Linked DNA regions of Macaca fascicularis. The protein of the gene in region 2 interacts with the protein of the main gene of each other region in a biochemical or structural test. Links are inferred from orthologs where the notes say so. Each region holds a gene or a part of one and is shown on either strand. Other genes may lie near its edges. The genes, in order: KSR1 and MARK3.

Region 1 (3,817 bases), on a different chromosome or scaffold from region 2:
AGCACAGCCACGTGCAGGAACGTGCTCCCAACCTGGAGGTGGGGGTGGGAAAGGGGGTCAAGGGTTGCCCATGTGTCCTCCCATCCCAAAGGGGCATCTGCACCTCCCATCTTTTGGGGCGTCATTCAGAGTTGTGCTGCATTTCTGCCTCCAGGAATGTCCCTCTCCTGAAGAGTGGGGTCCCGGGACATCAGGTGGGGTTCTGGGGATGGCTAAAGTCCACTGAAACCAGGCAGATGGCACCGCCTTCCCGGGGGCAGTGCTTTACCATGGCAGCCCAGCAGGCCAGAGTCCCTGCTGGAGAGTCTCGGTGGGCAAGGGCAAGGTGGAGACAGGGCTCTTCATGGGGCTGCCCATGGGCCGAGATGCGCTCAAGGTCTCTGCTTCTCAGAGAACAGCTGCCAGCTAGGCTGAAGCCAGCCAGTCACTTTAAGGCCACCTGTCTTAGGGTTATTTCCTGAGGCGGTCACCAGCACCTCTGCTTCTGGACTATGGAGAGGCCGAATGGGCTAAGAGGGTGGTCAAAGAGGTCCACCCCCGATGGCGACAGCAACGCACACACGACTCCCAGGTGGTAGAGGGGATGGAAATGAATCGCTCTTACCAAACCTAGAGGAGACAAAAAGCAGAGAGGGGGATTACGTCACCATGCTGGCTCGGCGCGTTCCTAGAACATTACCTTTGGGCGGGAGCAGGCAAGGGGCTGGGATGCAGGACTTTGAGGCCTGGCTTGAGGCCAGGCTGTGGCTGAGTGACTGTGGGAACCCCTGCAATCTCTGTGGGGACATTTCCTCAATGGAAAGGACTAGAAGGGCATTCCCCGGGCCTCCCCAGGGGACATTGAAACTCAGTGCTGTGCACTTTAATACATTAGCTTACATAAGCCTCGCCAGCAACCAAGCATGGTAATTAGAGTTCAGCCCATTTCACAGCCAAGAAAACTGAGCCTCAGGGGGCTGGCTGAGTAGGTCACATGGCTCACAGTGGGAGAGCCTGGCCCAGAGCCAGGCAAGAAAAGGGGTAAATCAGCTGGAGAGACCAGGCCTGGTGGCTCATGCCTGTAATCCCAGCACTTTGAGAAGCCGACACAAGTGGATCACCTAGGTCAGGAATTCAAGACCAGCCTGGCCAATGTGATGAAACCTTGTGTCTATTAAAAATACAAAAATTAGCCAGGTGTGGTGACGCATGCCTATAATCCCAGGTACTCAGGAGGCTGAGGCATGAGAATCGCTTGAACCCGGGAGGCGGAGGTTGCAGTGAGCTGAGATTGCACCACTGCACTCCAGCCTGGGCAGCAGAGCGAGACTCCTTCTCAGAAAAAGAAAAAAAAAATTATCAGTTGGAGAGGGTGTGGCTGGACAGGAAGGCAGAGATAACAGCCATGCAGAGCAGAGGTAGCCCCTGAAAGGAGAGTCACGCAGGGACACACCCTGAGCCTCCCCAGGGGGCTGCCACTGCCCCCAAGAACACATGGAGCTGGAGGAAACAGAGCACTCAGGGGTCACCAGAACAGCGAGGTGGCCTGAGCGTCACGTCAGTGCTGGTTCTGGTAACTCTGCAGGGACTGGACTCAGAATCCCAGGGTCTGAGGCTCAGTCACTGGCTGGAGTTTGAGGCTAGTTGTATCATCTGCCTGAGGCTGTGTCCCTGCCACCTTCCAGCATGCGAATGAGACCAGAGCTTTCCTAATGTTCTTCTTGGGAGAAGACAGAAACAGAGGGACTGGGTTGAGCCCACTGTGAGATGTCCTCTGACCCATGTTCGTGTGGTCATCATCACTGCATTCTACAGCCCCTTCTGGGTGGGACCCAGGCCCCAGCAGGACAGCCCAAGAGGGAACAGCAGGGTCAGTGACACCTGGATCTCTCCTCCTTGGGTGGCACACTCAAACCCATTGGAGCTGTCCAGGCTCCATCCCATAAAGGACCTGAACAGCATGCACTGGGAGAGGGGATCAGGCCCATTCCAAAGATGACTCCAAGGCCCAAGATACACCAGAGCCCAAGGAACCCCCTAGAAAATGGGTGCCCTTGTCGCTTCTTTACCTTTTGGCTAAGATCAAGTGTAGAAAAGTGGTGCCCAGGCTGAGGAGAGAAACCAGGTGCCCCAATCCTCGGGGTACAAGAAGGTAAGAGGCACCCAAGGAGAACTCTCCCTTTCTTTCTGTGCTGTCCACAAGGGTATATTGACAAGGGCAATCTTTGTAATAAAAAAAGACTATAATCTAATGCCCATCAAGAAGGGGACAAGATAAACTATACAATGAAATAATATGAACAAGTCAAACAAATGGGGTTTAAATAATTATAGACATACACAAAACTGCTAGCCTGGTTGGCTCCTGAAAGGGGAACCACGTGACTGAATAAAAATGGTGGGGTAGAGTTTTCACCGCGTACCCTGAGAAGCCACAGAGCTGCTGCACTTTGGATCGTGTGACTGTCTCACTTGTTCAAAATCCATAGATAGAAAAAACTTTTAAGTCAAAAACTAAACAAAAGAGTAAAATATTCCAAGATGTACTGACATGATGTTCCCAGAGATACCAAGGGAAGTTGAAAAAACAAGTCATGGGACAGAGTAGATGGTATGGTATCTGATAGTCACTAGTGGTTTCCACCAAATATTCCAGTTCTCTCCTCTTGGGCGTGTGGGCAAAGAGCACAGTTTCATTCTCCTGTTCAGGTTGGGCCAGGAATGGTGAGTGGAACTTCCAAGAAAGAGTACTCAACTGCCAGGGCATGACATCTGGAACTCACTTTTCCCCCTGCCACCGTGGCCAGCAATGCTCAGACAGTCTGGGCCCGGAAGGAGGCTGACCCATGATGGACAAGATGGACAAGGCGGCATGAGCAAGAAACAAATCTTTGTTCCTTTAAGACCTGGCAATTTGGGGATATCTGTTATTTCCGTGTAACCCGGCCTACCCTGACCCATACGTGGCATCACGTCATGTGCACGCACGTGTACATACAGAACCAAATCTAGAAGGATTCAGGCCACACCGCTGAAGCAGTCTGAGGAATGGACTGAAAGATGGGGGTACCTTTTACTTTTGACTTTACATGCTTCTATAGGGGTTGATTGTATTGGTCCTTCCATGTATCTTTATAATTAGAAAACCACAGAGGGCACTTTTGGTAGCTGCCCAGAAGGAGCACTCACCTCATCGAGGAGACCTCGTCAATGCGGTTCCCCAGCTGAGACTCGTGGGACTTACTCCGGGTGAGCGTGGGGAAGCTGGGCAGCAGCTGGAAGACCTTGCGGCTGGGTGGGGGGGGCGTCCGCGGTGGCTTCAGCTTGGTGTGCCGTCGCAGCTGGGGTGTGGTGGGCGGGGTGATGAAGCTGTGCAGGGCACGCGGGGTCAGCCGGCCACTGGCATGCAGGGGAATACAGGTATCCGAGAGGCCCTCACTGAAGCTGGGGGTGGGGGAGTCTGAGGCAGGCAGACCTGACACGGAGATGGAGCGTGGGCCCTGGGCACTGTTGCCTGCTCTGCCCAGCTGGGAGCTCCCCAGGGGCCAGGGCAGGCTGGCTGGTGAGAGAGTGTCCGTGGAAGGCCCCGAGCCACTTTCCCGCCGTGCATCCAACGAACTCCAACTGGAGTCCTCCTTATGTTCCCCTCCTGTGGACCAAGACGTGAAGTCACAGATGGTCGGGGCTGGAAGGCATTCACAAGGAGATGGCCAGGAGCCAGAGATGTTCAACACCTGGTGTGAGGCTGCACTGTTTCTTAAGGGAAGGCTTCAACTATCAACCTTTACCTGGTTTATAAAGGCTTCACACTCATGCGCACATATTATGTAGCCAACCA
Region 2 (3,817 bases):
TAAACCGTTCATTCAGAGAGAGGAGGAATCACAACGTACAAAAATGACAACCCTAAACTCAAGTAAAAGCAGTTTTCTGACTGCTGGAAAGACATTAAAGGTAATGTATGTGTGATTTTCTTCCCAGGCTTTCTCAAATTTAACTTTAAATGCTCTATTTACTTCATCTGATGCTTTACGTCATTTCTAAGCTATTAATGACTATAGGTTAATTTATGAAAGACCAGGTTTATGATAATATCCATCTTTTTTTTTTTTTTGAGACATAGTCTCACTCTGTCACCCAGGCTGTAGTGCAGTGGTGCGATCTTGGCTCACCGCAACCTCTGCCTCTCAGGGTCAAGTGGTTCTCTTGCCCCAGCCTCCCAAGTAGCTGGGATTACAGGTATGCGCCAACACATCCGGCTAATTTTCTGTTTGTTTGTTTGTTTGTTTGTTTGTTTGTTTTAGCAGAGACAGAGTTTCCCTATGTTGGCCAGTCTGGTCTCGAACTCCTGGTCTCAAGTGATCTGTCCACCTTGGTCTCCCAAAGTGCTGGGATTACAGGTGTGAGCCACCACACCTGGTCAATATCCATCATTAAGGGTTAAGTTAAAATAGCTTATAATAGTCAGAGGATTTAGATTTGCTATTTGCAGGTAAAGCTAAAAAATGATGTATCAAATGTTACAAATATTCAAAAGATAAAAACTAAGAAAACAGTTTATATAAACTAATAATTACATAAAGGGTATTTCAGCTCTTTCTCTCTGATCACTCTTACCTCTGAAGATTTTCTCCCCAGTAACAAATATGTAGCTGTGATTTCATCATATTTCATTTTACTAAGAGATTCTTGAATTTCTTCTTGTGAATATCCCATTCCCACCATAATATCTAAAAGAAAGGCATAATACAGTTTGTGTTTTGTTTGGGTAAGAAATCATCCTTTTTTTTTTTTTTGAGACAGAGTTTTGCTCTTGTTGCCCAGGATGGAGTGCAATGGCGTGATTTCGGCTCACCGCAACCTCCACCTCCCAGATTCAAGCAATTCTCCTGCCTCAGCCTCCCAAGTAGCTGGGATTACAGGCATGCGCCACCACACTCGGCTAATTTTGTATTTTTAGTAGAGATGGGGTTTCTGCATGTTGGTCAGGCTGGTCTCGACCTCCTGACCTCAGGTGATCTGCCCACGTCGGCCTCCCAAAGTGCTGGGATTACAGGCATGAGCCACTGTGCCCAGCCAGAAATCATTCTTTTATAGGGTAAAGTAATTTTCATTTGACCTAAAAGATGACATATTACATACATTTTCTAACATAAATGGGCACTTGTTTCAGAGTTACTGGAAACTACAGGTAGTTACGTTCCTAAATATGACAGAACAGATAAACTGTTCATATAACTTGTGCTTAACTTTCCATTATTCACATTTTAGGCACAGACATGAGTCAAAACAGAAATGTGTTACTTAGACAACTACACATGAACATGCAGGCATGGAGTCATTACCTATTCTTTTTTGGTCTGAGATGTCTAGCTCTGGTTCAACGAATGGTTTCAGTTCATCTTCTTCATGCCCTGCATTGATCCACCTGTCCTTCATGATTTGCTAAAAAAGGTAAACTGTTCATTAGCAGAGTAAAATGAAATATTCTGACAACCATAATATTTACAAAAATTTATTTTCAACATTTCATTGACTATCGTTCAAAACATAAACTCAAAAATATTTTTTTTAATGTTTTAATTCTTCCTTAAGAAGCCGCAGGATGTATCCAGTAGGGCATACAAATCAAGCAAAGACCTAAGGCCACTCTAAAGACTCTCCAAAGTTGTTGCTTGTTTCCACCTACATGATTACCTCTAGAGTGCCGCGTTTAATTGGATTTAGCACCAGGAAACGTTTGAGAAGGTTTTCACAGTCTGTAGACATGTAGAAGGGAATTCTGTATTTCCCTCTTAATACTCTCTCTCTCAGTTCCTTTGGGGAGGTAGAGAGGAAAGAAAACAAGTAAGTCAACCTTTTAGGTTTAGTTAACAAAGCACCACAAAAAACCCCCTGAAACCCCTCCACTGATACAATGTTAAAAAATATTAAGCCATACAATATTTGGAAACTTCTTTTAGTTTAGTGAAGTACATGGGTGCAGCTTCTTATACCTTTAGGTTTTGCCCATCAAAGGGAAGTGAGCCACTGACTAGTGTGTATAAAATGACCCCCAGACTCCATACATCCACTTCTGGCCCGTCGTATTTCTTGCCCTGGAAGAGCTCAGGTGCTGCGTATGGAGGACTGCCACAAAACGTGTCGAGTTTACTGCCAACGGTAAATTCATTGCTAAAACCGAAATCTGCTATTTTAATGTTCATATCGGCATCTAACAATAGATTTTCAGCCTAGAGGGAAAACATGAAGACAAAAATGAAATTTAACCAAAATAGAATTAGAATTACGACAGGATTAGGCATTTCAGAAAAGTTTTCTGTAATGATATAAAGTTACCTCCTAATTAATGTGAAAACATTCTTTCTACAGACAAAAACAGGAGACAAGTTAGAGCTCCTTATTTTATAACTAACAATAATAAACATGAAGTATAGATTAATTCTAGCACTAATTTAAACATCAATGTTCCAAGATCAAGAAAAATCTTGACAATTTTTTTTCAATTAATAATAATAATAATAATAATAATAATAATATGGGGGCCGGGCACGGTGGCTCATACCTATAATCCCAGCACTTTGGGAGGCCGAGGTGGCCGAATCATCTGAGGCCAGGAGTTTGAGACCAGCCTAGTCAACATGGTGAAACCCTGTCTTTACTAAAAATACAAAAATCAGCTGGGCATGGTGGTACACACCTGTAATCCCAGCTACTCAGGAGGCTGAGGCAGGAGAACTGCTTGAACCCGGGAGGGGGAGGTTGCAGTGAGCTGAGATCGTGCCACTGCACTCCAGCCTGGGCGACAGAGTGATACTCCATCTCAAAAACAAAAAACAAGAATAATATGGGGCAGGGGTAGGGGCAGGGCCAGGTACAAGTGGCTCACTTGGGCCCAGGAGTTCGAGACCACCTTGGGCAATATAGTGAGACCCCTTCTCTACAAAAAAAAAATAAAATAAAATTAGCTGGGTATGGTGGCACACGTCTGTAATCCCAGCTACTTGGAAGGCTTATGTGGGAGGATCTCTTAAGCCTGGGAGTTTGAGGCTGCAATGAGCTATGATTGTGCCACTGCACTCCAGCCTGGGTGACAGAGTAAAACCCTGTCTCAAAAAATACATAACTTTTTTAAAAAAGGGGCATTTCATAAAAACTGCTGAATAGCTATAAAATGGCTGTTAATGAGGAGGGGAGAATCCCAAACCTCATTCAAGAGTCAAATCACGGCTGAGTGCGGTGGCTCACGCCTGTAATCACAGCACTTCTGGAAGCTGAGGCGGGTGGATCACCTGAGGTCAGGAGTTCGAGACCAGTCTGGCCAACATGGTGAAGCCTCATCTCTACCAAAAATACAAAAAATTAGCCAGGTGTGGTGGTGGGCACCTGTAATCCCAGCTACTTGAGAGGTTGAGGCAGGAGAATCGCTTGAACGTGGGAGGTGGAGGTTGCAGTGAGCTGAGATTGCACCACTGCACTCCAGCCAGGGCGACAGAGCGAGACTCTGCCTCAAAAAAAAAAAAAAAAAAAAGAGAGAGACAAATCACAGTCACTTTATTTTATTTTTTTTTGAGACGGAGTCTCGCTCTGTCGCCCAGGCTGGAGTGCAGTGGCACGATCTCGGCTCACTGCAAGCTCGGCTTCCCGGGTTCACGCCATTCTCCTGCCTCA

The links.
Region 1: of the proteins of MARK3 (region 2) and KSR1, one has a biochemical effect on the other in vitro, tested with the Homo sapiens proteins (2 studies listed by BioGRID). The link is inferred for Macaca fascicularis from reciprocal best matches to the Homo sapiens genes MARK3 and KSR1.

Annotation. Positions count from the first base shown.
Region 1 is NC_088390.1:33,048,855-33,052,671, reverse strand, and holds part of KSR1 (kinase suppressor of Ras 1), read right to left. Parts: intron 3,629-3,817; coding exon 3,169-3,628; intron 2,988-3,168; coding exon 2,983-2,987; intron 288-2,982; exon of another isoform or gene 269-287; intron 33-268; exon of another isoform or gene 1-32.
Region 2 is NC_088381.1:171,635,404-171,639,220, reverse strand, and holds part of MARK3 (MAP/microtubule affinity-regulating kinase 3), read right to left. Parts: intron 2,380-3,817; coding exon 2,143-2,379; intron 1,964-2,142; coding exon 1,844-1,963; intron 1,592-1,843; coding exon 1,492-1,591; intron 877-1,491; coding exon 764-876; intron 1-763. UniProt on the Homo sapiens protein: Serine/threonine-protein kinase. Involved in the specific phosphorylation of microtubule-associated proteins for MAP2 and MAP4. Phosphorylates the microtubule-associated protein MAPT/TAU. Phosphorylates CDC25C on 'Ser-216'.